Rhinolophus ferrumequinum: one gene and its partners. The protein of the gene in region 1 binds, or shares a complex with, the protein of each later gene. Links are inferred from orthologs where the notes say so. Each region holds a gene or a part of one and is shown on either strand. Other genes may lie near its edges. The genes, in order: TPRKB, LAGE3 and OSGEP.

What was found.
Region 2: TPRKB (region 1) and LAGE3 share a complex: the UniProt entries of both Homo sapiens proteins name them as parts of the EKC/KEOPS complex. The link is inferred for Rhinolophus ferrumequinum from reciprocal best matches to the Homo sapiens genes TPRKB and LAGE3.
Region 3: TPRKB (region 1) and OSGEP share a complex: the UniProt entries of both Homo sapiens proteins name them as parts of the EKC/KEOPS complex. The link is inferred for Rhinolophus ferrumequinum from reciprocal best matches to the Homo sapiens genes TPRKB and OSGEP.

Annotation. Positions count from the first base shown.
Region 1 is NC_046296.1:18,109,710-18,120,585, forward strand, and holds the start of TPRKB (EKC/KEOPS complex subunit TPRKB), read right to left. Parts: upstream 4,562-10,876; 5' UTR 4,450-4,561; intron 1,350-4,449; 5' UTR 1,331-1,349; coding exon 1,190-1,330; intron 280-1,189; coding exon 157-279; intron 1-156. UniProt on the Homo sapiens protein: Component of the EKC/KEOPS complex that is required for the formation of a threonylcarbamoyl group on adenosine at position 37 (t(6)A37) in tRNAs that read codons beginning with adenine.
Region 2 is NC_046284.1:6,158,197-6,168,274, reverse strand, and holds LAGE3 (EKC/KEOPS complex subunit LAGE3), read right to left. Parts: upstream 3,444-10,078; 5' UTR 3,268-3,443; coding exon 3,086-3,267; intron 2,760-3,085; coding exon 2,631-2,759; intron 2,398-2,630; coding exon 2,283-2,397; 3' UTR 1,643-2,282; downstream 1-1,642. UniProt on the Homo sapiens protein: Component of the EKC/KEOPS complex that is required for the formation of a threonylcarbamoyl group on adenosine at position 37 (t(6)A37) in tRNAs that read codons beginning with adenine.
Region 3 is NC_046289.1:71,613,374-71,623,787, forward strand, and holds the start of OSGEP (tRNA N6-adenosine threonylcarbamoyltransferase), read right to left. Parts: upstream 4,669-10,414; 5' UTR 4,414-4,668; coding exon 4,299-4,413; intron 2,375-4,298; coding exon 2,255-2,374; intron 2,072-2,254; coding exon 1,896-2,071; intron 191-1,895; coding exon 95-190; intron 1-94. Other genes in the region: APEX1 (DNA-(apurinic or apyrimidinic site) endonuclease), read left to right, coding at 5,398-5,455, 5,654-5,838, 6,494-6,686, 6,833-7,350; PIP4P1 (type 1 phosphatidylinositol 4,5-bisphosphate 4-phosphatase), read right to left, coding at 8,406-8,549, 9,025-9,115, 9,220-9,272, 9,470-9,575, 10,009-10,115. UniProt on the Homo sapiens protein: Component of the EKC/KEOPS complex that is required for the formation of a threonylcarbamoyl group on adenosine at position 37 (t(6)A37) in tRNAs that read codons beginning with adenine.

The DNA of each region.
Region 1 (10,876 bases):
AAACCTCCACCCTCTGTCCAAAGCTCTCTTCATTTATTATTTTGGTTTGTTACTAACATTAGGCTTGCAGGAATTTAGCCTCCAACCCAACACTAGGAAACACACAGGTTATCATGACAAGGTCAACAGAAATAAAGTAAAATCCATATTAATTACATTGTTATTTGGAGAAAGGTTGAAAATAATTTCAGTAGATAGAGTTCTCGTTTTCATTTTTCCCAGTTTGCAGAGGTGAACTGCTTTGTTTGCTGCCACAAGTATCTGAAATGGATCAATGATCTACCAAAGAGAACAAAAAGAATTACACACAGAGAATCTGGAGCACTCTGAAGATGCATGCCCTCTCATGGTAACTCCAACGTCAGGCTGTTTTACTTCATCACAATTTCTATGGACTATATTTTCAAATTTCTATCTCAAGGGCCTGCGTGTTCAGAAAATCAGACTTTTAAAGCTTCAAAAACAAACAGTAAAAATTAAAAAAAAACACATTAAGAGCTAATGTTATGGGAAAGGCCATATTCTGAACATTTTATACCTGTATTATTTTCTTTAATTCTTAAAACTATACTATGAAATTGGTATTATTCACATGCAGTAGATGAGGAAACCAAGGCAAAGAATGTGTGGGTTTGAATCTCAGCTCTGTCACTTACTACCCAGGGAACGTGTGCAAATTCCTTAGATTATCTGTTAGATGCAAGTAATCTTACTTCATAGAGTTGTTGTGAAGTGAGTTAGTATATGTAAAGCACTTAGAAGAATGCAAGTATGTGTAAAGCCAGATACAGAGTAAGCACTCTATAAAGGTTGGCTTCTACTTGCTCAAAGTCGTAATAAATGGCAGAGCTTGGATTAAGTCCTGGAAATGTAATTTCACACGTGTGCTCTTCATCACTATGCAATGCTTCCTTTGCAGAGATTCTGTAGTTCAGATGAGATGGAGATCTACTTATCTGCCACTATGTCAGTGCCAGACTACAACCTTTCCTATCTCCTAGAGCAGGGCCTAGCACTTCATCTTCCATTCACTGTTAAATTCAAGGTTGGCCGAATGTGATTCAACTCGACAGCTTAGACAAGAACTTTTTACCTGAAGATGACAATTTTAGGCTAACCTGTAACATCATGGAAAATGAACACATTCTTAAATGCCCTGCAGACCTCACTCATTCTCACTTGTACTTACCACCGCAGGGTTTATTAATGAACCATCAATGGCACCTTCCATGGCCTTTTTTCTCAAGTCTCCAGCATTTTTTACATCTTTAAATAACAGAAGGGTCACCCTGCATTCGGGAAATAAGTCCAGCTGATGTGTTAACTGCATTTCGTAGATAAGCAGGATTCTATTATATAAAACCAAAAAGACCAGAGTCTTTTGTTGAAAAGTGAACATTATAATTCCTTAACAAATATCTTTGCTAACAAATAAATTTTCAAAAATAATAAGATGATAGAACTGATAAACTAGGAAAATCCATCCCCAAAGCACTTTTGGCATCCTCATGAGATGTCTTCTTCCTCACACTGCTGAGCTGTTTCTAGCTTCCTTTATCATTCCTGGGAAAGGATCAAGGTTGTTGCCTGCTCTTCTGGTTGTACAGATGAGGTAAGCTCAGCTGCATGGCTGAGGGGCAGCTTCCCCAATAGACAACTAGGTGCAGAATACCAGGAATTTTTTTTTATTTAATTTTTATTGGGGAATATTGGGGAACAGTGTTTTTTTCCAGGACCCACCAGCTCCATGTCAAGTCATTGTTTTTTCAATCTAGTTGTGGGGTGCACAGCTCAGCTGCAGGGTCAAGTTATTGCTTTCAATCTAGTTGTAGAGGGCATAGCTCATAGTGGCCGATGTGGGTATCGAACCAGCATCCTTGGTGTTATGAGCACCACACTCCAACCACTGAGCCAACTGGCCACCCACTGGCGGCTCAGCTCCAAGCTCAAGCTGTTGCTTCTCACTGGTCCATGTGGGAATCGAATCAGCGACGCTGGGGTTATGAGCACCTCGCTCCAACCACTGAGCCAACCAGCCGTCCATCAGGAATTTTTTAGACCACAGGTTACCTATGGTATTAATGAAACCTCACTAGAACTTAGCCTTTTTAGCTTTCTGATCTCACTGTTTTATTTAAATTTTAGCAGAACCTAGACACACATATTAAGGAAAAAAATAATTCTAGAGAAAAGAAGTATTACACTTGACTCAAAGATATTCAGTTCACACATGCAATTTAACCAGAGGGTACAACTATTAAATAATTAATAAGATTGGCCCTTTCTTAGACATAAGTTTAAGAAGGAAAAGACAGGGTAAGTATAAAGATATAAAAGATGCATGAGACACAACTTAAATAACTAGAAAGACGTAACCATATTTGTTAGGTCCCTGAATGTTAGAGACCTTGACTTAATGCTAGGTCTATGAATGTCAGGTCTCAGAGACCTTGACTTATGGACAAAGCCATGTCTGCAAGAAAACAACAAAATGTCTGTTGACCTGTACCTACAGACAGAGCCGAACTTGTGATACAAGAAAACAAAACAGTATAGCTACTGGCTTACAGGCAGTCAACATTTTCTGTTCAAGCAATGCCACCCTTTCATCAGAGCCCCTATAAAACACTCCTCACCCCCTCTTTCGGGGCTGCAAGTCTCCTTTAGGGGTGTAGTCCAGACTGTAGTGGTCTTTGCTCAGTCTGATATATACTTTTCTCTCTTACCATAAAAACTTCCTTAACTTGCCTGACAATGCACGTTCCTTTACTGGCTGACCTGTCAATATTCTTGAATGGGAAAACAAAGTTTTACAAAAATGTGATCTTTAAAACATTTTAATCAACATCTTAATGAGATATTTGGGTGAGGCAATTTGATAAGCTCATTTTACCCTTTTATCTGGTAGGTTCATATCTAGGACTCTTTCTCCAGAAATAAATTGGAAATCTGAGAATTTAGGTAATAAAAAGTTCCTCTCATCATCCTAATAGTAAAAAGTTGAAAACTTATTTAGCTAACAACGGGACTGGTTGTGACTAAACAACCATTAAAAACTGAAATCTTAAAGACTAGTTAAAGATATGTGAAAATAGCAATAAATAACATGAAGTAAAAATATCTGACAGGAAAACAAAACATAAAATGTGGCATAAATCATGGGGTTTTTAAAAGGTAAAAAAGAAAAAACACTGGAAGGAAAATTCATCAATAAAGTTCTCTCTGACTTGGTGGAATTATATCTGTTTTTTTCTGTTACAATAAGGAGTAAAATATCTGTGAATAATGTCCCGGCACATAGCAGCTCAATCTTTATTGTCATGATAGTGTCCAACGGAAAAACTACAGAAATGTGTAACAAATATATTCCCAATTATACAAAAAGATGAATACAGAAAACAAAAACATGAAGGAAACACACCAAAAGATGGCCATCTTGGTAACTGGATTATAGGTAATTTATATGGTCCTCTATAAAAAATATTTTTGTATGCATGTTCTGAATTTTTTATAGGGAGCACACAAAATATAATGAGCACATATAATCATGGAGGAAAAAAAACCTTTTGTGGTTTTTGTTTTTACACTAGTAAAACGGACCCCTAGCACATGTCAAAATAGTTTGTTTTATATAATTCACTCACCTAGGCCAGAAATTTAGATTAATCTCTAGTCCCATTTCTAATCAATAAAATCGTGCCGATTTTACCTCTTAAATAACATTTTAACCAGTCCACTTCTCTCCCATACCCACCGCCACCACACGAGGCCACCATCTCTCATCCACACCTATGGCCTCTTAGGAGCGGTCGCCTCAAAATTCCCGCTCTCCTATCATCCAACCTCCACCTGGCAAAGTGACCCTTTCAAACTGTAAACCAAACCTTGTCCTTCCGCTACTCTTGTGATAAGGCCACAACTTTATGTCAAAGCGTTCCGGATTCTATGACCTGGGCCCTTCCTCCCTCTTCTGCTTCCAAGCGCATCTCCTCCCTGACTGCGCTCTTGCCGCTACCGCCGCAATGGCCTTCTTAGCTTCAAGTCACCAAGCTTTCTCCCCACCTCTGCCCTCACCGGTAGGGAGTTCCCGACTCAATTCCTCCCTCCCATCAACTCGCCGTTAAAGAGTCTATATACTAGCGAGCCCAGAGCCCCGGAGCTGGGTCCCTATTATACGAGCTCCTTCTTATCCCTCGTCACAACTTCAATGAGTCGGGACCTGATTGGTTTTCTGTACCCTCACTAAGGTGTATAAACCTTGAAGGTAAAGACTGAGTCTATCACTTTGGTGTTAAATTTCCAGGGCCTGGTCTCGGCAGGCGCTTGTTAAACAAGGGCCGAAGGAGCTCCAGGCGTGGACTCAAAATAACTGGGTTACAGCTGCCCGGGATCGGCCCTCCGCTCTCCCACCTCCAACCTTCTCCTCCCAGCCCCGCCCGGAGGACTCACCGCCGCCTGCCCCGTCCGTGTTGGAGTGTCTTCCCCGCGGAAACAAAGCCCACCACTTCCGGAAGCTTGGCCGCAGCATCTGTCTTTCCGGATCCCGGAGGGAGGGAGTTTCCGGTGGGCCGTCCCGCCCACTCTTCCGCGGGTCCTTCTTCCCCGCGTGAGTCCCCTTAGCGGACGCGAAGGAGAGCTCCGTCCGTCACTTCCCGTGAGAGAGGGCTGGAAAGGATGCGTGGGCCGGGGCCGAGGTCTGGGTGCGAGCCTCAACTTTGTCCCTAACTTGTATTGGGCCTTGAACGAGTCGTCTTCACCTTCTTCCTGTGCAAAGCATTGGCCGAGAAGAGCTCTCTACATGTCTCCGATGGTCGAGATTCAAGTTTTTTTCTTGGCACGCGGGACTCGGTTGCCTTTTTGCTCTCGGTGCGGTCATTTAGGGAGGATCTGTTAGAGCGGATGGAGCTAGGCTATTTGCCTTGGATACTTATGAAGAGATTGGTGACTACATTAATGAAACCAACCTTTCCTTCATCTACCAGGCACAGGAATTTGGTTTGTCATCCCTGAATGTACCAGCCTCTAAGAGAGGAGGGAATCCCCTAAACAGGTTGTAGAGTTATTTTCCATGTTCTTTATGGTTGGGGTTCATTCTGGTCAATACTTTACACAGGACAGGTAAACAACAAACACAGCTGTCAGTGAATATGTGCCATGGAGAAAAAAAATGGAGAAAAGGGGGAATGCCAGGTCGTGAGTATTACTATTTTAAATAGGACGGTTAAGAAATATCTCACCAAAAAGGACCATTTGAATAGTGACTGGAGGCGGTCTGGAAGCAAGCTGTGTGTGTATCTGGGAGAGCAGCATTCAAGGCAACAAAGAGACTTCAAAGGCTCTGATCCTGTTTAAGGAATAGCAGGGAGAACTGTGGCTTGAACCAATGGGAATACATATATATTAGTAAAAATTTATTCTGACAAAAGACTTGTATCCAGATTCTATAAAGAAGTACAACTCAAAAATAAAAGAAACAACCTAAGTAACTAAGAATGGGCAACATTTGAACAGACACTCCACAAAAGATACCTGAAAGGTCAACAAACACATAAAAAGATGCTAAACATCATTAGTTATCAGGGAAATGCAAATTAAAAACATAAATACTACTATGCACCCATATGATGGCTAAAATTTAAAAGACTAATAGTATCAAGTGTTGTCCAATATGCAGAATAACTAAAACCCTCATGTATTGCTGGTCTAAATATAACAGTATAACTACTTTAGAAAAGACTGGCAGTTTCTTTAAAAAATATATAATTTAATAAAAAATTACTTATAAAATATACTTATCATACCCAGAAATTTCATTCCTTGGTATTTACCCAGGAAAAATGAAAATGTGTGCACACAAAGGCTCATACATGAATGTTTATAGCAAATTGACTCATAATAGCCATAAACTGTAAACAACCCAATGCCCAACAACACGTCAATGGTTAAGCAAATTGTGGTAAATCTATACAATGAAACACTACTCAGTAATAGAAAGGAATGAATTACTGATACTTGCAACAATACTTGCAACAAGAACAAGGATGAATCTAAAAACGTGATCAGCAATAAAAAAAAGAAACTGAAATTATGTTACTGCATGATCCCATTTCTACAAAATTCTAGAAATTACAAACTTATTCTACAGTGACTAATAGCAAATTAGTGGTTGCTAGGATTGGGAGAATGGGAGACCTTGTCTGGAAAGGACCCCAAAAGAACCTCTGCAATGAAGCCAATGTTCTGTATCTTGATGTGTTAGTTACAAGGAAATATGAATTTGTCAAAATTCATCATATTACACACTTTAAAAGGGTACATTTTATAGACTATAAATTATGCCTAAAGTTGTTTAGAAAATAGGCATTAAAAAAAGTTGTCACCATTCATAGTAGCTTGAAGTTGTCTGTGTTCAGAGCAGCTTGTCTGTAACCACCAAAAGGTAGAAACAACCCAAATGTTCATCAAGTGAGTGAGTGGATAAACAAATTGTATATCCATGCAATGGACTGCAACTTGGGAATAAAAAGAATCAACTATTGCTACATACTATAACAGGGATGAATCTCAAAATAGTTATGCTAAATTTAAAAAGCCAGACATAAAAATACGACATGCTGTATGATTCCATTTATATAAAACTAGTCTAGAGTGACAGAAAGCAGATCAGCAGTTGCTTGGGTAGGGGGCATGGGGTGGCAAAGGGGAATTACAAAGGGGCACGAGCAAATGGGGTAATAGGTATGTTTGATCTTAACTGTGATAATGGTTTCATGAATGTATACATGTCAAACGTATCAAATGGTATACTTTAAAAATGTACAGTATATTGTACATCAATTATATTTCTAAAGCTCATTTTAAAATCACAAGACAACACTATATCTGTATTAGAATAGCTAGAATAAAAGAAAAAAACAGACAATACTGTGCTGGTGAGGATGTAAATAACCAAAACTCTTATACCTTATTGCCAGGATTATAAAACAGTACAGCCATTTTGGAAATGTTTGGTAGTTTCTTATAAAATTAAACTTATAGCTACTTACTCCATAGCAGCAATTCCACTCCAGAGGAAAACATATGTGCTCATAAAAACCTGTACACAAATGTTTACAGCATCTTTGTTCAAAAGTCAAAAATTGGAAACCCAATCCTTCAACTGGCAGATGGGTAAACAAATTAGGGTATATCCGTACAACAGAGTACTAACTCAGCAATAAAAAGGAATGAACTATGGGTCCACTCAGTGACATGGATGAATCTCAAAAGCATGCTAAATGAAAGAAGTCACATTCAAAAGGTTATATACTGTATGATTCCGCTTACACGACATTCTATAAAAGGCAAAACTACAGGGAACTGAAAACAAATCAATGGTTGCCAGGTCTGGGGTTGGTAGGAGCAGTTGGGTTACAAAGTGACATGAGTGAATTTCCAGGGGTGATGAAACTGTTCTTAATTATAGTTACAAAACGGAATGCGTTTGTCAAAACTCATAGAATTGTACACTTAAAAAAGGATGCATTTTACTGTTTTTCAAAAAGGCACCTCAGAGGTAAAGATGATCCTTTTACCTACAGCTGCACAGGAAGAGAGATCATTATGTATCATAAAATTAGTTCAAAAGATCTGATTTGATGAAGTGTTAACTGAGAACTTTCCTAAGTTCTTTCCTAAGAATATCAACCTTGTTCTCGCCTGCAATAATATAGACTTGTATAAATATACGTAAGTGTTATCATCTGTTAAAGTAAATCTAACCTTGGTAGTGTTATCTGAACAAGTGGGTCATAGAAGACACCCAGACTCCAAAAACTATTCCCATGTCCTGAGAAAATAACCCACAAAATGAAAACTGTACTTCTTGAAAAACTGTTATGTTGGATGTAATTGACATTTCTGTATTCCTAAAAGATGAATATGTGTGGGATCTCAATGTCCAATCAGTGGAAGAGCTCTGGTACTTCCTGCTCTCATATGCATAGTTGAACATTAAAAAGTATGACTTTGCCAGATTTATTAACAAATACTAGTGTCTTACCTAGGTCCTACAAAGCAGAGCCTGAGGCAAGGATTAAAGTGCTGCTGTTTTATTTGGGTGGTGAGAGTGAGGATAAAAGGGAAATGAAGCAAGGAGAGATGGAAAGCAATGTGAGGAAATGTATCACCTTCCTGGTAGACTTCACAAGGAACCAGAAGGAAACACAGGTTGTTTGGTATGTGTGTTTGCTCAGCAGGCTGAACTTTCCCTGGGAGACTTGAAAGGAAAAACCATGCCTGAGAGTAGTCCACAGAAGAGAGACAGGAGGGGGAATTTGCCTGTCAGGCTCCTCCTTGTCTCATGTTTCATTATTCAAAGATCTCTACTGTGGGAGCTGTTGTCATTCAGCAGCCTACCTGTCTGTCCCCTCGTACCTACCCCTAAAGAAAGGAGAGTCCGTGAAACTGATCCTTTCAGGGACTTTATCTCACCTTTGTGCTTACACCTTATATCTCCCATTTTGGCCCCAAAGGATGGCTGGTTAGTCAATGATGGGTAAGATTCCTTGAGGGAGGAACACCTAAGAGAGGCACAATCGCATAGGAGCCATCTGGAGAACTTATGGGGTTGATAGAGGTGGGTACAGCCACCCACCTAAGGAGAGCTTCTGCCTCTGTGGCTATATTCCTTCCCACAACCTGCTTGGGAAGAGATTCAATGATGTGATAACATCAGTTCTCCATCTATTCATATGCATAAAGGTTTTGTCCCTTGGGGAGGTACATACATCCTGAGACTTACAGTTCTGACTGCCTGCAGGCAAGGGTGATTGGTTTGAATCAGTTTCCTAGTATAATGTGTGAAATTCACAGATCTTGAGATTAACAAGCTTTACTTTCTCATTTGTTAACCAATAAAAGCTATGCGTTGGCCTGATTCGGGGCTCAGTTCTTGAGGCTGGAGTCCCTTGGCCCCGCTTGGACTCTATTTTTGGCTACAGTCTTTCTTAACCCTGCGCCGCCCTTCTCGCTTCCCACAGTTCTTGTCGTGCAGGATGCGACAGGAGCTGACTCCTCCACACTTCTGATCATCTCACCCTTCAGTGGCAGCTCAGAAAACCAGATCCTGTGGCCCATAGTGTGGCATTTCCTCCGACTCTAAAGTGGAGGGATGTGGTGTGGGGGTTGGAAGGGCCATGCAGGCCCAGTATAACCTGGGCTCTAGTCATCTCAGGGAGCACAATACTGGCAAGGCAATGAAGAAATGTGGTGCAGGTGGCAGATGGCACCTTCATGGAGGAGGAGGGGATTGAAGGAATCTGAGGCCATGCTTAGAGCCTGTGTTTCACAGAACAGGAGATATGAATGAAATAAATGCTAAACAATGACACAAGGTACCATGTAGAAAAAGAAATAAATCAGTAGAGGAGTAGAGTTGTTGGGAGAAGGCTTTAAGAGATGGGGCTTCAAAAATGAGAATGGTTTGCTCACAGAAACCACAAGAGAACCATTATAGCCAAGCAAACAACTTGAAAGACAAAGACACAGTGGTATAAACATGCACAACACAGCGTTCTCAGGAAATGGCCGGCACACTGACAAATGGGAGAGGAGTATCGCAGTGAAACGTCGGCTGGAAGTCAGATCACAGAAGGCCTTGTCAAGGACTTAGAAGTGGCTCCTGAAGGCCATTAGTCATGCAAGATTTCCAAGAGGGGAATAACATGAATGAATTTGTTTCCAGGACATAATTCTGGGCCAGTTATTAAAAGTATGCTAGAAAGGTGGTTCAGACAGGACCCTGGATGGGATCCCCTCCACGGTAGGAATGTTTGTGGTTGACAGTGTAGGACCAGATCATGACTTAGGGTACTCAATGGCCTACACTCCTGGAACATGATGCATCAAAATCAACTTACCAGACTGAGGAGAAACCCAAAACCCACTTTTATTGGCTCATTTATAGTCTCATTACACTGGCCAGACTGAACGCACGCCTATGTCTGTACTCCCTAGCCAAAATGACAATAAGGGAATTTTTACAGATTGAAAACTCACAAGAGAATGGGAGAGATGACAAAATGGTAGATGAGAGAGAGCAATAAAGTTATCAAAGACGGTAGTGGTCAGAAAGGAGAAAAATAAAACCTAAATGTATATAGCATGGGGAAAGGAAACAAAAGGCAAGCTGACCACCTTATTACAAATCTACCACAACACAACCAGGGTGTCCATCAGCTTAAAGTGCCACAATTCTTAGTACAAAGAAATGGGCAAAAGTCACCGGATATTTCAAGAATACCTCCAACATGAGAGGCAGGTATCAATAAACAGGAAAAAAAAAAAAAAAAAAGAAGAACGAAAACAGTAGATGCAGGAAACAGAAGAAACCTAAAAATAACTGATAACTCGAGAGCAAAGATAATACATCCATTAAAAAAAGAATCAATTCACAAATATGTGTTCCTCTAATCTGTACATCATCGGCCTTGTGTATTTGTATGTCTTTCCTCAAGAAAAAGAATTAGTTGAACTTCAAAGAATTTTCAGAATATGCTAAAATTTTGGTAAGGACTTTGATAGAAAATAGAGGTTTTAATGGGTACTTATTATAGTTAGTGGTGATAATCACTTGTCAGAACATATTTTTCTTGCAAAATTAATAAAATTATCTAAGCGTTATTTAAAATGAAGTGCCTGGGGAAAACGTCATTTGGAAAATAAGAGCTAGTTCTTGGAAATTAAAAATGTATATAAAAAAACATAAATAGCAGAAAATGTAAACTATCAATAGAAGAATAGAAAATAAAGCTGAGGAAATTCTCTTGGTTTAAAAAAAGCAAAAAGGTTAAAAATAGAAAATAAGAGAAACAATATATTATTAACCTAGAGGTAC
Region 2 (10,078 bases), on another chromosome or scaffold:
GACTCGCAGCCTCAAGAGACTGGAGCCCCGAATTGGGTCACTGACAGTATTTATTGATTACAAACAATGCACATCACATGATTAGAGGCAGGGTCTGTGAAACTCTTACACCATTTCAGAAAAATGATTTCAATACCCAATTATTTGTCCCAAAGCAGCCGAAGCATATCGTCCCAAGATGACTAAGGTGCGGTATGCACCACCCTGGGGGAGAGAGTCTCTCGGGGTGAAACTGTCCCATGAGCTGAGCAGAAAGAGCTTGATCTTATCGCTCTAATGGGCCTGTCTCACAATAAGGTGAGAGGGAGCAGCAGAGGCAAGCAGCAGCTTCCCACAAGAACAAGAGGAAGGAGGGGCAAGGCTCCCTCCTATTATTTCTTATAACAGCTCATTGGGGTCCCAACGGGGTCCCGTCTGGCTTGAGTTGTCCCACCCGTGAGGAATCTTACTCGTCGTTGACCGCAGACCCTTCTCTTGAAGACCAGATGGAGAGACTCAGGATATTATAAACTCAATCCCAGAGAGGCACAGTCCCATAAATTCTTCTTTCCTTAGGGAAAGGTTGGGGGGGACAAACGGCTAGGCTGCTGTGTGACCACACAGAATGGTAAACCTCACAATTTGGGAGGCATCGGGCAGGGTGCTCAGGAGGAAGGGTCTTGCCTCAGTCGTGTGGGAAAAAAAAATGACTCCCACACTGAAAGGGCCCACGCAGCAAACCTTCAGAGCCAGACTCTAAAGGATCCGACTGTTTCCAGCATCCAGAACAAAGCTCAAAATATATGTCTAGGCCTACAAAGATATCCAGCCCCCAAGGGAAAATCATGTCTGGCATCCAATCTAAAATTACCAGGCATGGAGAGAAGCAGGAGAATCCAACGCCATAACGAGAAAAGATACTAACCAATAAAAGGCATCCAAATTGAAAAGGAAGTAAAATTGCCTTTATTCTGAGAAAACATGATCATCTTGGAGAAAATCTGACGGCACTTATAAAGGAGCTGCTAGAATAAGTAAATTTAGCAAGCAATGCAATGTATTTTATAGGGAGCTCATTCCTTCCAACGAAAGGCTTAACCAATTGTCCCAGCACTTTTCTTCACTGACCTGACACACTGCCAGTCAGCCCACAAGGCTCTGACTCTAGTATATCTGGGTTGTTTGCTCTTCTCATGCAAACTAAGTTTTTAAAAATATTTGCCAAGGAGACCCAGCAGTGGCAAGGAAGTGGGAAACCAGCATTCTGGTGGGAGGGTACATTTTCTGGAGAGCAATTCTGCACTGTAGATTGACAGCTTTAAAAAATAAATCATAAATATTTAACGCAGTAAATCTACCTCTTGGAATCCATCTTATGGAAACAATCATGTAAAGATTTATATGCAAGAATTCCATTGACTCATCCATTACCTATAATAGGACAAAAAAATTGAAAATACAGTTTTCCTGAAAATAAGACCAAGCTGGACAATCAGCTCTACTGTGTCTTTTGGAGCAAAAATTAATATAAGACCCTGTCTTATAGTAAAATAAGACTGGGTCTTTAATATAATAATATAATATAATATAATGTAACGTAATGTAATGTAATGTAATATAATATAATATAATATAATATAATATAATATAATATAATATAAAGACAGGGTCTTATATTAATTTTTGCTCCAAAAGACACATTAGAGCTGATTGTCTGGCTAGGTCTTATGTTCGGGAAACACAGTAATTTAAATGGCCAATAATTACATTATAATGTATCTTTTATGCCTCCATTCAATAATGCTTTTGAAGAATTTTTAGTGGAAACGTTCATGTTAGATTAAAAATATCAGTAAAAATACAAAATATTATACATTATGTATTATTGTTATACATTTACTATATAAAATACAGGTTTAAAACTAAGGAAAGATTCCAAAATGTTGACAGTAGTTAATACTGAACGACAGGACCCATCTTCCATTTCCTAAACTGTCTTCAGTTACCTGGTAGTGCTTGAATATCTGAATCCCAGACCTCTCCTCCAACCCTGGGACAAAGGCAAGAATATTAGGTGCTGTAGTTTAAAAGAAAATCAGACATGGAATAGTAGCTCAGTTGTTGTCTGCAGTAAGGACCAAACAAATGAAGTGAACCCCCAGTGTCCAAGGGCCGGTACAGGCAAAAGATTTAGGGCTCCATGATAAAGTGGCAACTACTGCAATAATTGCTGTCGTAGGAAGGATCCATTGCCTAGGATGGGACACAAGGTTGGGCCTCAGCCCCCTTTTCCTAGCTCAGGCTTAGCGGGAAAGAGGGGGCCCAAAGCGCTGCATGGTCCGCATCACCAGGGAAAGCTGGTCAAGAAAGTTGATGATGGATATTCGGAGGAGGCGAGAATCATCAGCTCTCCAGCGGCTAAATGTGAGGAAAAAAGAAAATCAAGTTAGAGGTGGTGACCCCTCCCCATCCTTGCTCTGCCCCTCAGGCATCTGAACCCTTTGCCGTCTCCATTACGACACCTCCCCCTTAGACTGCACCAAGTCCCTCCCCTAGACCTAACCCTTGAGTGTCTCCACCTCTCCCATAAAGCGCCTCTCGGTAGAGACTGGCCCTGCCACCCCCCACCTCCTGACCCTCCTAGAGCTTACACCGCTAGGACGCTGCCGCTCACTGTGAGCTCCTTCCGAACCGCCCCTGGGTGGGGTTCCGCATCTGGGGCCAGAGACCCACAGGCGATGTCAGCCTCCAAGGGGGACGGGAAAGGCACACTGAGGGCGCTGGAAATTGTGTCAAGGCACCATCCACAGAGACTTTGTGCCTCGGGTACCTTCTCTGGCCACCTTGACTAGTCTCACTCCCTTCAGGACTGCCTCCAGCACTCCCAGGGCACCCCAGGCCCTAATCCCCGCCCCCAGCCACCCCGTTCCCCACCTGCTCTCATTTCTTATCCTCCAGACTCCTCCTGGCCTGTATACCCCCAGGCTGCCCCTGGTTCCTTCTGTTCCCCTTTCCACACCCGCCGCGTCCGTCCCTCTGCACCCAACGCCCCCCTCCCCGCAGACAGCCCCCAGCGTATTCCCCGCTGTCCCTTCGGGTAGGATACAATGTATGTAGTCGGTTTCCCGGTCTTCTGGCCGTGGACGCTGCGTCTCCGCCCGGCTCTGGGCCATGCTGTGCTCGCAAGACTCGAGGAGCTCCGCCAGACGCTGGGGCCGCCGTGGCCGCACTGCCGGGGCCTCCCTGGCCTTCCCCTCCGCTGCAGCCTGCGTCTGCCGCCCGCTGCATGGCCGCGGCGCTCCGCCTTCGACCCCGCCCTCGGAGAGCTGGTCTAACCGACTGACTGCGCTCTCCGCGGGAGGCTGAGGAACTGCGGCTCCTTTCCGAAGCTCTGCCCCTTCGCCCTGACTCCGACCAGGAGGCCTGCCGCCACTGGGCCCTAGTAAGGACTCCGGGTGTGTGGTGAGTTCCCGGCAGCCCGTGGGCCCCGGGAGACCCTGTGGTGGCCTAGCCAATGAGCCCTCCCTCATGAAGCTCTGCCCCTAAGAGCAACATGTGGCCCCCAGTGTGCCCGCCTAACCCGTCTTGCCTTAGCCCCCTCCACCCACCTCGTGTGAGGCACCACACAGGTGGCTGCTTTCCCGCCCTGTCTCTTCCTTGGGCCCAATGTCCCCAAGAGATGTGGCTCAACGTACTTGCAGTGATTTGTGGAGGGAGGTGAGGTCCGGTAACCCACAAGGGATGGTGTTCTGCATCCCACCCCCATTGCCAATTTAAATGGGGAAACCAAAGGAGGCTTTAAAGGGGACGACGGCCCAATCATATCTGCATTTTTAGAAACGAAGTGGGCGGTGAGAAGGTCAAGCCTGACAGCAGGGAGACCCACACAGAGGCAAGGAGGGAAACAATAGGGACCTGAGATAAAGTAGTGGCAGTGCGAACAGGGCTAATGTCATCTGTGAAAAATCAGGATGCAGAACCAAAATCACTAAAATCCCAATTTAGTAAATTACCGTATACATGCACTGAAACTTAGAACAATACACCAAAATGTAAATACTCACTACCACTGTGTGACGGCACACTGGATTATAACTGCCATCTTGTGTTTGCCTGCAAATTTTTGACGATGACCTTATATGACATTTTTAATCAAAAATAAGTTCTTAAAGTGACATGAAATTTCTGACAGTGGTTGTCATGGTAGTTTTCTATTTTCCTCTTTTGTAATTATAAGGAAGGACATAAAGCTGAGCTATATCATCAAATCTTGTTGGATCTCCCGCTCAAAACAGCCCCTAATCAGTCCACTTTCTCTACTGCTCCATCGCTAGTCTCCAGTGGAAGCCACCATCTCTCCCTGAACAGCTTCCTATCTGGTTTTCTTCTACACTTGCTCCTCTAGAGCCTGTTCTCCACACAGAAGAATCAGGTCTTGATTTTTAGTATAAATCACATCATTTCACATCCCTGCTTAAAATCCTAAAACAATTTCCCATTGCCCTTGGAATCAAATCTAACCTCTTTGCTGTAGCTTATGTCAACTGATGGTTGTTGGCGCCAATTCAACATCACCTGGAATCCCCAGTTTGGGATGTAGTGAAGGACAATGTATTCAGCACAAAAAGCTTAATTGTGACACAGCCCAGCTGTGAGAATGTTCAATAGTGTTACAGCTCAATTATGAGACAACACAGCTGTGGAACAGCATGGCTGTGAGGTGGCTCTGGGGCAAGGCAGCCCCAGGGTGAGGGCCATCTCCAGCTAGACAGCTGTGCTCTGCTCCACTCCAGTCTGCTCCACTCTGCCCTTGCTCTTCTCCGCTCTGGTCCGCTGAGACTTCTTGTGTATTTGGTCTTCAGTGTTTCAGCTCCAGCCTGGGAAACACTCTTCAGTCTTCTGTGTAAAGGGAAAGTGCACTCTCCAAGACAGAAGTAAGTCTTGCCCCTGGTCCCTGATTGGTCCATCCTCATGCAAATGACACTCCAATTCCTCACAGTTTGATTGGTCCAAAAAGTACTGTCATGATTGGTTAGAATGGAGCTTCTCTGATTGGTGGGTGAAGATGCTGATGAGGGTGTAGTTACACAGCTCTGGTTGGATGGGGAAAGTTTCAGTCTTATTCGTTGAAATAGGATTCCAGGAACTACTTTATAAGGGTTGGCTCAGATGGCAGGAACACAGTACAGGCAGGCAGTTCAGTGTAGGCGTCTCCCAAAGCAGGGCTTGCATGAGAGGCCCCTGTTTAGAAATAGCTGCTAGGCTCTGTTTGATTTTTTTGTTTGTTTTTGTTTTTGTTGTTGTTGTTTTTTGAACCCAGTTATCCACTAAGATCCCTTCTTAGTAGGTATCTTGTTAGGATCCACACTTATAAAAGCCCTGGGTGACCTGGCTGCCAGCTCCTCCACACTCTACCCTCACCTGCCTGCTTCCTCATTCTCTGCAACCTCTGAGGGTTTTCTGTACTCCTGACCAGAGGTGACCCACCCCCAGTCCTTTGCACTTACTCTTCTGTTTGGAAGACTATCCCCAAACTTTCCCATGGCTGGCTCTTTCTTGTCATTAGGATCTTGGCTCCAATGTCACCTCTGAGAGGACTTCTGGGTCACCAGTCTAACATACTACCCCCAGGCATGCTTCATCACATTTGCCCACTTTAATATGCTGCATAGCATTTCTAATAATCTGAAATTATAACCTTGTTTTGTTCACTTCTATATTGTTGATATACCATCTCTAGTACCTTTATTTTTTTTGTTCAGTGCAGTTTATGCAATAGGTGGTTTGTTGCTTGTTGAATAAAACAGAGTATTACTAAGTACAAAACTCGATCGCTGTCATGGACCCAGCAATCTGCAGGTAGGAAGTTACTTCACAAATAGGAAACAACATATGTACAATGTTACTCATTATAACCTAATCGGTAACAGAAAGTTATTGGACACAATGTACATGTCCACCAGCAGGGAATTGGTGAAATAAACTATGGCACCTTCATGCAATAGTCCTAAGCAGCAATGGAAAGAAAAGAAGAACGAAAACCTCTAATGAGAAAGTGAAATGATTTGCAGGATACATTGTTATGTGAAAAAAGCAGAGTGCAAAGGACACACACACTCATGGACACACACGCACTCTCAGACACAAATACTCATTGGGAAAAAGACACAAGAAGGAGATACCCCAAACTAATGAAAATGGTCACCTGGAGGAGGTTGACATGGGTATAGCATTTCTTGGAATATACCTTTTTCTGTAGTTTTGACTTTGAACCATGTAATATTTTATATGTCCAAAAATATGTTTGAAAGAGTGAAAAAGATCAAATGCTAAAATTGAATAAAAACAAAAACAAATGAGGCTAACTGAATATCAAATTTATAACAAAACCATACAGAGAAAATAATTCGGGTGCCTTTTAAACTCAGCAGTCTGACTGTACTCCCTTCACGGGATGTATTCTAAGGACAAAAGTCACTGGCCTTACTCTTAAGATGTTTGTTGTTGGCAACGGTAGTGATGAGGTGACTCAAAGTATTTTGGGGGTACTTTAAGACAGACTCTATCTGTTAGAGCAAATGAGTAAATATATCTATGCTGTCGGGAATGAGAATTCTCACTGTGGAATAAGGGAAGGCGACAAAGAACTGTGACACTGGATTGAAATTGGGGATTGCAGTATGAACTCTTAAAAATATATTTCCTAGTTTTGTCCACTGAAAGAGTCTAGAAGCAATGACACCCTGATAGCAATGAGCACACCCTGCGCGCAGACCTTGGGTCCACGATGACATTCTCCACTAAAAGGAACCAGACCTTCTCGGAGAAATGGCTGATTCCAGGGCTGGGACAGGAAAAACCACAAGATGAGCCTGGAGTACCTCACTCTTAGGAGTTGATCACGTGGTCAAGGCAGCCTGCACCTTGACCACGTGATCAAATTGAGCCTCCCCAACAGTGCCATGGCCTGACCAGAAAGTAAGGAAGTGCTTTAAAAACTTGGCATGTCAAAGGGACATAGTTGTCAACCAGGAAGAACCAAAGCTAGAACAATTTGAGCATCCAAAAGGATATTAAACCTTTTGGAGAGGAGTATGACTGGAAGGGGGCACTGGGGAAGGTGCTGGAGTACTGGCAATATTCTGTATTTCGATCTGGAGAGGATAGATACATAGGTGTATTCACTTTAAAAATCCATCAAGCTGTAAAGTGATGATTTATGTACATTACTGTACGCATGCTATAGTCCAATAAAAACTGCCCCCTAAAATGACACTCTTGGATTCTAAGTTGTTGAATAATAATAATAATAATACATCCACTGTGATAACTGTGATAACTGAGCAAAGAGAGCAGGGAAAAAGGAGAAATGCCAACTAATAATTGTAGAAAGAAAGAATCAGAAAACCATCATTTGCAGCTACCAATGCAATTTATTCAGGGAAGAATCATCTTTGGATGGTGAAACCATTAGATAAAGGCTGTTGGGGAAGAGAATATTCACAGGGTCTCAAGGTATTACCCCAGATTACTTGTGCATTAAGAAGGGAAAAATGCAACTTTGCCACTGAGAGACCTGGCAGCCTCCACCTTGACCATGCGATCAAACCAACAAAGCCCCCCTAAGAGTGGGACAGCCTGACCCCCGTGCCTCCTGATGGTGGGGGTGGGGGGAGGGAAAGACACAGCACGCCCTTGGCAGTGCTCTAGTCAAAATGCTTAAGCTGAATCTAATGAGGAAGGACTCAGGCAAATCCAGACTCTGGAACATTCTACAAGGCAACAGCTCTGGATTATTCCAAAAATATTGTTCCCTGATTGCCTATGGAGAAGGGAGAGTTGGGAGAGGCAAAGGTAGCTTCCTGCTTCCTGTCATTAAAAGCCTGGCTGAGTGACATTGCCATTCATCCAGGCAGGCTAATGTGGGTGCCAAGAGGAAGGGAAGTGTGTCTTCCAGTCCCAGTGTTGCCAGCATTTGGGACATGACAGGCACTCAGTGAATGTGTGCTAAAAGCGTGAATGAGATGTCTGCAGGAGAGCCAGGAGCTGTCTCACAATCACACCACAGACGTGGCAGTGAAGGTGGACAAGCTCCCCTGAAAGAAGAGAAGGACTCCAGGGACAGATCCCTTGTGGGGACAGAGTCCCAGAGAGCAGTTTCCAGGCTCTCGGCCTCACTGGAAAGGTGCTGGCTTGGGTAGTAGACGGCCATCAGCTGTGGCCAGTTAGCCATTAGCCACTGATATAGCTACCGTGGCTAGGTTGGTTGGTTGGTTGGCAGGCAGAGAAGCGGACAGTAGGTTGCGGATCATGTGGATCCTACTTCATGTGTCTTGCCCAGCCGCCAGTGAGACTGGGGTGCAGGAAGAGCCCTTGTTAGGGGTGCTAGCAGATGTTTGCTCCCTGTGTCTCCAACCCAGCTGCCAGAGAGTATATAGTGGTCTGACTCCTCTATCTATGGCTCCGTGGGTGGTCCTTTTTGGCCTCACCATATCCTGCGTTCTTGTGCGGGGAGCGGGAGCAGAGTCCCTGCATGACAGCCCTGGAGCCCCCCGACATTAAGAGGTGATGTATGTGTGTATGTGGGGTTGGACAGGGGAAGAACCAGCAAAGGAGCCAGAGAAGGAAGGAGCAATGAAGTGGAAGAAAAAGCAGGAGAGTGAGTACAGAAGACAGCAAGGGATAAGGAATGCCAGAGTCATTTGGTTACCCCGAGAGGGTGGGAAGGGGGTCAAGTTCCCAGGAGCTCAGGGAGGCAGGCAGCTCTAGCTGGGCCCTGGAGGTGGACAGGTCCATTGTCTCTCCTGCAAGCTTTTCAGAGCTCGTAGTCTGAGCCTAGCCACAGCTGTTGCATCTGCTTCAGGACTGCCTGTCCTGGCTAAGCAGTGCCCCTGCTGAAACTATAGGAGATGGCAAGGCCTGGTTTTGGCCAGGCATGCATGGGAGGCCTGAAAGGTGTCGGCAAATTGTGGGCACAGCTAATCTGTCACTTGGGCACTTCCAACTGAACAAGCCCACCCCAAAGCTAATGCTGCTGTCCTCTGTGTCTGCCCCCCTCCCTGGGCCTTTGGGAAACGGCACCACAAGCATCTCAGTCCAGGTGCCAGACCATTTCTGTCTGAGAGGCCACCACTTCTCCTGGCTTCTCCTAGTGTCATCACGATCACAACAGAGCCTGCAAGTTGCACCATGTCCCTGGGGGGCAAGGACTGCTCAAGGCCCCTCCTCGAGGCAATGGGTGTCAGGGCCCCACAGTGGGCAGAGGACAGGGAGGCACGCCCTCCTGGGTTGCCACTTGGTACAAAGGGACTGCAGAAAAACATTTTGCTGCGTGTTGCAGGATGTCAGCATTTGGGGCCTGCAGGTGTACATGGGGCCATCTCCAGACTCCAGAGGCTAAGGTGGAGTGCAGCCTGTGGTTGCTGCGTCCTCACGTGGAGTCCCTCGTCTCCTGTCATGATGGCACAGGGCCTGGACCAGAGCCTCCTGGCCCTGAACCCCCGGGGCCTCCTCCCATCTCTCACTCCTGCAGCTTTTCCTCCCTCTCCTGCCTTCCCTTCCCCATCTGCCTGTCCCTGCTGTGCCATACACAAGCTTCTGAATTGACGGTTCCCTCGTCACCATCACCGCCTCCTCCCCTCCCCTTGCAACTGCTTCTGGCCCACAACATCGGCAGCCAACTTGTTACTAACGCAGAGGAGGCTCCGTCCTGCTCTCACTTTGCCTCTTGGCAGCACTGGACAGCTTCCCATGTGGAGGGCATTCTTGGCTTCTGACTCTGAGCTCTCCCCATGGCCTTTCGTCTGCAGGTGTTCCTGGCCTCTACTGCATCTTCAGTTGATCCCCAAGGCCTAGTCCTCCCCTCTCTTTTCATGCCCCCCACTTTGGGAAGCCACCTCATCTGTCATCACAGCATCTAGGATGTCCTGTCTACAGATAACTCCCCACCATCGTTGTAGAAGGCTGTAGAGGGCTCTGGCATCAGACTGGGCCTGGGTCCCAGGCAGTGCTTCCTTCAGCGGGGCTCCCATCATACATCCTGAAGACTCCACTCGTGTCTCCCCGCTCAGTTCCTGACCCCTTGCCCAACTGCCCAGCA
Region 3 (10,414 bases), on another chromosome or scaffold:
GTTTAAGAAGCTAATTTACTGCTTTCTCCCTCCATTTCCATGACTCCCCCAAAATTCAGCCACATCTTATGTTCTCTGCAACCCAATGGCTTACCTTCAGCACTCGAGCAAAACGATCCAGACAATTACCCACAGCAATATCGATGGTTTCCCCAAAGATGCGGTAACGGTGTTCTGAATATGCAATCACCTAAGGGTGATGAGGATGTCCATGAAAGCTCAAGTCTGTAAAGAGGAGTATTTGGCTTTGGGGAAGAATATAGCAGAGGATCAACATGGCCACTAGAGCATCCAAGAAATGGAAAAAAACCACTTTGCCAAAGCCTGAGTGGGATTTTTTATAGCTCTTATCTTAGAAGAAGCTCACACATACCTACCTTGAGGATTCCCAGAGCAGATTCCTAAAGAAGATAGTCTAGGTCAGGGCAGAAGCAAACTGCCTTTCAAATGCTAATTTCTAGCTTGGAGGCTCCTTATACTCATATATCCCTTAAAAGCTGTACTGACAGTGTAGACTAGGGAACAGGCTTTGCTGCTTGGAGGGAGGGAAGTAGAGTCCTTTTAGAGTATCTCTCCAGGGCAGTAATATTTGCAAACAAGAGAATAAGTAGAGTTGAAAACTCAAAAACCCCATATTGGGTTGGACTAATGGCCCACCCAATTCAGCACTGGCAATCAACTTGAACTTCTAGCACAGAGAATATTTACCCACTGACACATATCCTTCATACTTCCGACAGTGAGTGCTTCCTAGAGACCATAAGAAGTCCCTTTCCCTTCCTGCTAGGGAAGGGAATTCTTTCCCTTCTGCTAGGGATTTCTTTCCATTCTGATGGAAAGAAATTCAATCAGGATTTCATGGGAATGTGTGCTTCACCTTTAATAACTATTTCACACAGTGAAGTTGTGTGAAAGCCTTTCATAGGTCTTACTCTGTTGTCAAAAGGCTGGTGACAAAAGGGGAAGGAAAAACCCCTGCCTTTCTTCTTCTATCATCTACTCCTCTCCACCCAAATCATCTTCCTTATTTTTTACACCAAAGCAGGCTTCAAAAGGGAAGAGGAAAAGAGAAGACTCAAGACTCGATCACTGCTCCTCTTAAATCTTTTCAGCCTCCATTGCTAATTCCACACCCCAAGGCCCTCACCTTGTATACCACCCGACAGGTCCCAAGCAGCTACTTGCCCTTTACCTGTCAGAGTTCCCACATCATTTTCATGGGAATGTGTGCTTCACCTTTAATAACTATTTCACACAGTGAAGTTGTGTGAAAGCCTTTCATAGGCGGGACAATGACTATTTCTGACAATAACTCTATCAGGTGTTCTGTGGCAAAGGAAGGCTGGAGATCTCCAATCCCAATCTAAGAAAGGTCTCATAAGATATCCCAAACAACTTTGGCTTCACCTATAAACTTAAAATATCTTCTACCATTTATAAAGTGTTTTAAAAATTATTTACACTTTCACACTCTTAGGATAACAACTTCCATATATTTATCACCAATAGCGTAAAACAAAACATGTAACTACTATAAAGAAACAAATTGGGTAGTGCCTCTTAGTTATAATTTCTAACGTTCATAGAAAAAAAAATAAGCTTCAAAACAATTAAAGTGAAAATCCTTTCATTATTTTGAAGGCTTCAATCCCTACCATTCTTTCCTTTTTTAAATTGGAAATTCTTCATCTTTATAACCACATACACAAAAGTCACTTAATGCTCTCTCCAATTTGCAATGTTACAAACTTTGTTGTGGATTTTCTAGTGTATCACATTTTAGGTTCAGACAAGCTCAGCTTTGTTCTTGCAGTTCCTGCCACTCAGATAGAACACAAAAGTGGCCAGTACAGTGCATCAGAAACTAAGAAGGAATGGTGGCGTACTCTCAATACCTGTGTATTTCCACCGCTGACATAAAGCACAGTTGGGTTGGTGGCTCCAGTGATGAGACGGCCCATCTCAATGTGGCCTATACAGTGGTTCACACCCAGCAATGGCTTATTCCACAGTTGGGCCACAGTACGGGCCACAACGGCCACAGAAACTAGTGGGGCACCCATGCCAGGGCCTAGGGAGATAGAAACGGGAGTTAGAATCCTACAGAGAATGGAAAAAAACAGAGCTGAGGGAAGGAAGGGATGTGAGAGGTGGAGTCAGGGTAGTGGTGGTAGCAGAGGCAAGCTATAGGCTATTTTGACATGGCCAAGCTCCAAGGATATTCTTCCACTGTCAGCCACTCACCCAGCCATACCTTTGGTGTAGGCAATGCAGTCAATATCCTGGGAGGTTAATCCAGCCTCTGTTAGTGCCTCCTGCAGCAGGTCCAGGATAACAGCTCGGTGGTGCCTGGCAGTATCACCTGGAAGAAATCCTAGGAGATGAACACAGGTCAGAGATCATAGGGTTTTTCTGTAGCATAGGTAGGTAGAAGTCAAAAACAGGCTTTTAGTAGTGTAGGAAGAGTCCCTTTCATTCTCTTCAAGAAACCTGTCTTCCAGGTGCTCAGATATATTACTTCCAGCCTGCTCAGCTAGGCTGAACAGCCTCTCAGAAATGCCCTTCTTCATACCCAACTCCTACTCAGCCTTCAGGACTCATGTCAAGTGATATCTATGTTATACCCTGCGGTGATCTTCTCTGTGACCCTACAAACTCTGTGCACGATCATAGCATTGTATTCAACATACTGTATTTAAATATGTCTGGTATTTTTGTCATAAGCCTGTTTGCTGTAACATCTTTGCTGCAAGCATTTCTTCCGTAAACATTTTCATGGCACAACTAATTGGTCCTAAGGCAATTTCACAGTAAAAGATAAAATAGCAGAAAATAAAAGAGGGACATTGAAACATGAAAAATTAGTAACAAAATTTTCAAAAACTTTATTGTAAAAAACGAAAATACATTGTCTTCAAAGTCTTTTGTTCATAGTATCATACTTTTTTTTTTTGCTTGCTGATTTGTCTCCTTGTTCAGCATTGCCTTTTTTCTTTTTTGCTATAATTTCTTCCTTTGGTAAGAGAGGTATTAGTTTCAACTAAAAAAATCGATAATGAATGCTCTTGAAGACTGTTGTGAATTAGGAGCCTCTTATATTTGCCATAGCTAGGTAAACTTTAAGGTTTGACAGGTGGGAGGGAAGACTGTGCTCACCGAAGGATTTGGAAACTGATGTGGTTTTCCAGTACAGTATGTAATCTGGCTTTACACGTAGCTGTTATCATCCACTATTTCAAGGTCATCACGTCTACTCATCACTGTAGAGACTATTATGAGAGCTACAATTTACATAATATAAAAACGGGAGTAACTACAAGAACTCCCTCAATGAAGAAATGAAACCAAACTGTCAACTAGCTTATTACATGCATTACGTATGACAAATGTAAACCAAACAGTCAACCAGTTATTTTATATCTTTTTAGAGTGAAATTGGCTTATGGTCAGTTAGTTATGCGGTGAAAATGTAGCAAAAATATCTAGAACTGTATTTAACATGTAACAATTATAGTATTATAATTACCTGTAGTTTCCCCAGTTTAATCATGAGCATCTCAAAACACTGGCTATTTTATGCACCTCTGTATTCCTAGTGCCAAAATGCTAAACATACGTATCTTTCTAACGAGTAGCCTGTCACGTCACCTGTTCAAGGAGGCTTTTCAGGTATATGCAAATCAGTTGCCCTCTCCTATATAAACAGGTGTTTTGGGGGAGGGTAGGCAAGATATAACATAACTTACAAATAACACCTATTAAAAGTTGTAATGTGTCTGGTGCTTTTATTTAATTCTCAAGACCCAATGCAATGACCCAATGATACAGGTATTATTCCCATTTTAAGAGTAAAGAAATCCAAAAACAAATACTGAATATGAGTACTGACTGCAAAGCCCGTCACTTCTGTCTGACACCTAACCTGGGAGTCTACACTCCTTTTCATTCTAGAATATTTTTATTGCATCTGCATTATTTATCATACTACAATATAAAGTTGTTTACATATCCAACTCCACAGCAGGCTCATAACATCTATTTTTGTATCCTGCAGCAAACTGACAATTAGCATATAAAAGATGTTAAATAAAAGCTTAACGAACCCTGAAGATCCAGGTCCAAATGCCTGTGACTTTTCTATCCATCAGCCAGCCTTGTGATTTTAATACTGTCACATAACATCGGAGACTCAGATCAAAAGCTCTATGACGGGACCATGCGCTCTTCACTAGTGTTTAGAAGATGGAAGGTGATGGTGTGCGGAGAAGCGCGCTGCAAACTCTAAGTTCCCTACTCACCTGTGCCGGGAGGCGTGACGTAAGTCCGCCGCGGGTTCGCCAACACCTTGCCATCCCGCACTACTCCCACGCCAATCTTGTTGGCGCTACCTTCAAAACCTAGCACCGCCGGCATGGCTGAGCCTGGGAGTAAACGCCGGCAGGGTTCCTAGCTACCACTGCAGCGGTGGAACCCTCACCAGTCCTTGCTGAGCCTCAGATTCCCGAGCGCAGAGGAAGAGGAAGAGAGCCCGCAACTGCTAAGTGGCAGCGCGCAACCAGACACACTCCGAAAACCGCCGGCGGGTGACTTGACCGCGCTGGCCACGCCCCCGTCGTCACGGCGACCGGTCAAGGCCCCTTCCAGGACCTGTCCTCCTAACTGCCAGGGACGCTGAGCCGGCATCTACTCCTTACATTCCCATCCTTTGCTCTGCTTCTCTCCGGTGGCCCATCCTTGCCTTCCCCACTGTTTTTTTTCCGTCTTGCACAGCGTTGGAATCTTCGGTCAGGGTGGCACAAGAAATCGTGCATCTGGCACACGGATAAACAGTCCGAGAATGGAGGGTGGGGGCCTTTAGTCCCCCGGATACTCTGGAGATGCAAGGGAAGGCGGAGGTTCTCGGTCACGTGGTGCCAGACAGACTAATCACCCACGTTTGTCTGCCACGTGGTGTCTCAGACGACGTGACCACGCCAGTTACCCACGTGGGGGCTCAGCGTGCTCCCTTCTTTGTGCTCGGGTAAGGAGGTGCCAGGCTGGGACTCAAGTAGGTCAGATGGAGTTGCTGTTCTTTTTTGCCCATCAGAGGGGCTTCTCTAGACGTCTGATCGGCTAGCCTAAGCCAGGACCCTTAATTAAGGCGCTAATTGGCCTGAGGACAGATCTCATGAAGAGGGTACAAGGCACCGAAATGATCTAGTGTTGTGGGTGAGGGGCTGAAGGGCCTATGGCGCACGGAGGCGGGGAAAGAATTCAAAGATAATAACGGGCCGCGCGAAGGTAGAATCTTTTATCCCCAGCCTTAGCTGGTTTCACCACTTATTTGCGTTTGTAGGCAACGCGGTAAAAATACTGCTTCGTTGGGCGACGTGGTGCAGGAGGGCGTTCGTTACAGTGATGCCGAAGCGTGGGAAAAAGGCAGCAGTGGTAGAAGATGGGGAAGAGCCTAAGACTGGTAAGAGAATGAAATGAACCCTTCTCCCTAGAGGCTGCTTCTAATTTCCTGAATAAACAGGAAGTACGGACCGACGCACTCCATTTTTGCAGTTTGTGAAGAAGTCGCGGGAACTGCAGGCTTTCAGTGGGTCTATAGTTAACTCGATGAAAGTTGGATGCCGCCAACTTTTATCACTATGTATTACTTATTTTATAGAGCCAGAGGCCAAGAAGAGCAAGGCGGGAGCAAAGAAAAACGAAAAAGAGGCAGGAGAGGGGCCAGTCCTGTATGAGGACCCCCCAGATAAGAAAACCTCACCCAGTGGCAAATCAGCCACACTCAAGATCTGCTCCTGGAATGTGGATGGGCTTCGAGCCTGGATTAAGAAGAAAGGTTTAGATGTAAGTGGAATTCAAGGAGGGGGGAAGAGACAATCTTTGGTATTGATCTTGGGGTTTAATCACCCTCTCCTATTTTAGTCCCCAGCATGTAGGTTTTATTGTTCCCTTGTAGGTAGTTTTCTTGTGGGAGAGGTACAAGAAGAGGCTTCAAGTCATGCCACCTGTTTCCTGCACATCCATTCCTTCAGTTCCATTGCCATTGTCTTAAACTCTTAATGTCCTCCTCTCTTCCCCAGCATGTTGAAAAAACCTTGTTACTGAACTTGCTCCATTTTATCTCCAGCATGTCCTCTATTTCAATAACTGGTGTTTACACTGTGTAGTATACAGATGATGCATTATAGAATTCTACACTTGAAACAATCTTATTAACCTGTGTCATCCTAATAAATTTAATAAAGTTTAAAAAAATTAAAAATAACTAGTACTTGAAAATCTTAGCTATCCACTGCCTATAGGAAAAACAATCTCCTTAGTGTTGCATGTGTCAGTCTTACCTCCTTCCATTAGTTACCAGTTACAGAATTGTTTAAATATTGTGCTGCTAAACTGTTCAACTCCTTATGCACAGGGACTGTGTATCTCTAGTACTTAACACAGATTCCTCAATAAATGTCTGCTGAATTGATACTTTTTATACTTATTTCACTCACAGTGGGTAAAGGAAGAAGCCCCAGATATCCTGTGCCTGCAAGAGACCAAATGTTCAGAGAATAAACTACCAGCTGAACTTCAAGAGCTTCCTGGACTGTCCCATCAGTATTGGTCAGCTCCTTCAGATAAGGAAGGGTACAGTGGTGTGGGCCTACTCTCCCGCCAGTGCCCACTCAAAGTCTCCTATGGCATTGGTAAGACTCTATTGATTTCCTATGGACTGAGTTCTTCCAAACCAATTGCTAGTGCTCCACTCCAACCCCAATTCTTGATTCCTTTATTCTCTACTTTCCCTTTTCTTATGCTTCTTTATATTGATACTGTTTCATCATTTCTGTAGGCGAGGAGGAACATGATCAGGAAGGCCGAGTGATTGTGGCTGAATTTGACACATTTGTGCTGGTAACAGCCTATGTACCTAATGCAGGCCGAGGTCTGGTGCGCCTGGAGTACCGGCAGCGCTGGGATGAAGCTTTTCGCAAGTTCCTGAAGGGCTTGGCTTCCCGCAAGCCTCTTGTGCTATGTGGGGACCTCAATGTGGCTCATGAAGAAATTGACCTTCGAAACCCCAAGGGAAACAAAAAGAATGCTGGCTTCACTCCAGAAGAGCGTCAAGGCTTTGGGGAATTGCTGCAGGCTGTGCCACTGACTGACAGTTTCCGGCACCTCTACCCCAGCACGGCTTATGCCTACACCTTTTGGACCTATATGATGAATGCTCGATCCAAAAACGTTGGTTGGCGCCTTGATTACTTTTTGGTGTCTCACTCTTTGTTACCTGCTTTGTGTGACAGCAAGATCCGTTCCAAGGCCCTGGGCAGTGACCACTGTCCCATCACCCTATACCTAGCACTGTGATACCTCCCCCAGATCACCCTGAGCCTGGGAAATAAACTCCCTATACTAGCTTTAACATCCTGCTCCCCAACTCTAAAACTGCTCTCTAGAGAACTCTGCACTGTATTTCCCTTCTAAAAATGTGAATCCTTCAACCAGGCTCCTAGTTACATATGGGTTTCCTTTAAGCCCAAGGTTTTGGTTTTTGTGTGTGGGTGGGTTTTTTCTTTTTTTACATTAAACAAAAGCTACTGATGACTTCCTTTGAACTGTCCATATGAAAATAAAGAGCCATAATTTCAAACTTCCTGTCTTTCTATTCTACTCCTTTGTGAGACCATAAATTTCCCTCCTTTCATAACAGATTAACAACTGGAAAAGGGTAGAGTCACCACATTTATTTACAAGCACAGGATGAATCCCTCCCCTCCCCCAAGACAGCAACCCTACCCAGCCCAGTTAAATGCTACAACTGGGGTGTAAGGTTGGCAGGAGGAATTAAGGGAAACACAGGACTAGGGGAACGTACCCCACATTAAATAGTTATATACATATCAGTTCCTGTGGTTCTGTACAGAGCAGCGGCTGACCCCACCCCCATAGGACACGGAATGGGGGGAGAGGAGACTGAGGGTACTGAGGCCAGAGCCAGCCCCTGGAGAAGTGCAATAGCAGCAGCAGGTCCTAATGGTACACAAGAGGGAGGGAAACCCCCAGGGCTACCCACCCCCACCCTGCCCTGGAATGTATAAGGGACAGGAATGGCTCTCAGGGAGCTTATAGGAAGGACAAGGCTAGAACCGTCTTTTAGGACCCAGGTTTAGGGGCAACATTTCGCCTACTTCACCCTAAACACGGCAACCCTGGGAGGAAAGCAGATGGCCAGCAGTGGTCTTACCTACCCCTCCAAACCGAGGTGAGGGCCTGGTTCTTTCCTACCTCTCCCCAGGGAAAAGGAAGGCAGCTGCTTGGCTCCACTTCGAGAAGCCCAGGGAGCCTTTTATCATGGCTCCCTTTGTAGTGTCACTGTCCCCACCAGGGAGGGGTCAGGCACAGTCTGTGGTTCATCGTGGGGCTCAGGAGAAGTTCTGGACAGGGTGGCTGACCTTCATACAGGCCCAATAGAGGGCCCGCCCCAAACACAGCACAGCCAACAGGATGACAAATGCCCAGGCTGCATAGATGCCTCCATATCGCCGTGCATACTTCCATGTCCCAAACTGACAAAAAAGAAAGAGGAGGTTACTGTGGCTCTCTCACCCCTTTCTTGGAGCCCTAGTAACAGCAACATAGAACTCTGGGTCCCTGTTCCCTATCCCTGTGTAGCCACCTTCAGGAACCTGCTTAAAGGCCCAGTTCAGCTCCCCCTAGGAAGGAACATACTCATACAATCCCAAACATGTCAGTTTTTCTTAATGTCTTACAATAACACCAGGTTTTCTAATAGCAACTCCTAATTTAAGCACTATTCCATTGTCCTATCCTCTGCATAAAGAAGATGGCTGTTCTTTACTCCTATAGTAACAATGAAAACTGTTTATCAGTTACCTTCAACTTCAGCTCATCTATACATTAAAACACAAAATAAACAAAACCCCCTTGATTTCTTTCACTTCTTTTAAGGTAGCCATTTCCAAATCTTAGCCTATAGAGATGAGGCTGGAGAATGAAAGGGGTCGGATCATAGTTACTCACAGCAAGGCCAGTGGCAGTGACTGCCAAGAGCAAGCCAAGCAAGAAGCAGCAGATACATCTCTTTCGTGGATATCTGCGCCCAATAGATGACCTGTGTGGAGGCAAACAGAAATGGATGCCTGCAATGGCTCTGTAATTTTTATTCGACACGTTACCCGATTACTAGCTCAATGATGCCACTCTCTAATCACTTACACTTTCCTGCAGTGAGGGCAACGGGCCAAAGTTCGGTCTGTGAACTCTGTCCACTATGGAGAAAGAAAAAGGGAGAAACCAACTAATAGTACAAGAAGGGTCATCTTCAATGAGAGTCCTGGGGCAGGAGAGGGTGGGAAATGGGTCCTCTTAGAACAGGCCTGTTCAGGATTCATGATCATAAATCAAAAAGTATATTTATCTTTCCTCCTGGTTTTTTTCCCCAGGGCTTCCCAAAACCCCTCCTCACCAGAAAAGTATTCTTGCAATGTCCACAGATGACCCTGACACCCACAGGTTGTGGTTCTGGACTCAGAGGTCCTGGGTGCACAGGCCCCAGGTTGATGATTCTTTTGCTGTACAAGGAAAAAACTATATTTAAAAAGTTTTTAATCCTAAGGATCCCTACACTGTGCCTCCTTCTTAGCCCCCACCCTCTGTCTCACTCAGTTCCTCTACTTCTCTATACATTTAAGATACTCTGCCCCCCCAACTCTACCCCAGAGACTCCTTGAGGAAGAGCACTCCTTAAACTATAGGTCTCTTTTTATCTCAGGATAATTGATACAATGTCCAAAACTCTCCATTATCCTAAAGGACACCATTTCATCCCATTCTTTTTACAGAGAGATGAAAAAGATAGCTATAACATTCGAGATGCATAATACTCCTTAGCCTTTTCTTTCTAAACACCAGGCTCTCTCATCTTGACATTCACTATAAACAGTCATCCTTTTCTGGCTTTCCGATTTTCCCCACTGATGCCCTTCCCCACCTTATGCCTCTTACCAGTAGGGTCGAGGGCAGGCAATCCGCTGTGAAGTCACTTTACAGATAAGGAGACAGTTACAGGGGCATCGAACATATTTTTTCCCTGGGGGTGCATTCTTGATTGGCTAGAGAATAATAGGGATATTGGTAAGCAAACCTCTAATCCCCAACCCTTTCATTTCCCCAAAAAACACTCTGAGGAGAAATCAGATAGATGAGGTTTTAGCGAGGACAGAGAAATGAAAGAAAGGCATACACCACGAGGTTGGCAAATGAAAACTAGGCTAAGGTATCCCAGATAGGTATGAAGTTGAGGGATGGTAAACATCAGGTTTATTTAGTGAGTGGCTTCTGGGGAAACGGCTATGTGAAACTCCTGGACCTGAAACCCAGGTTTCGTGATGAGCACTTAGCTGATGGTCGG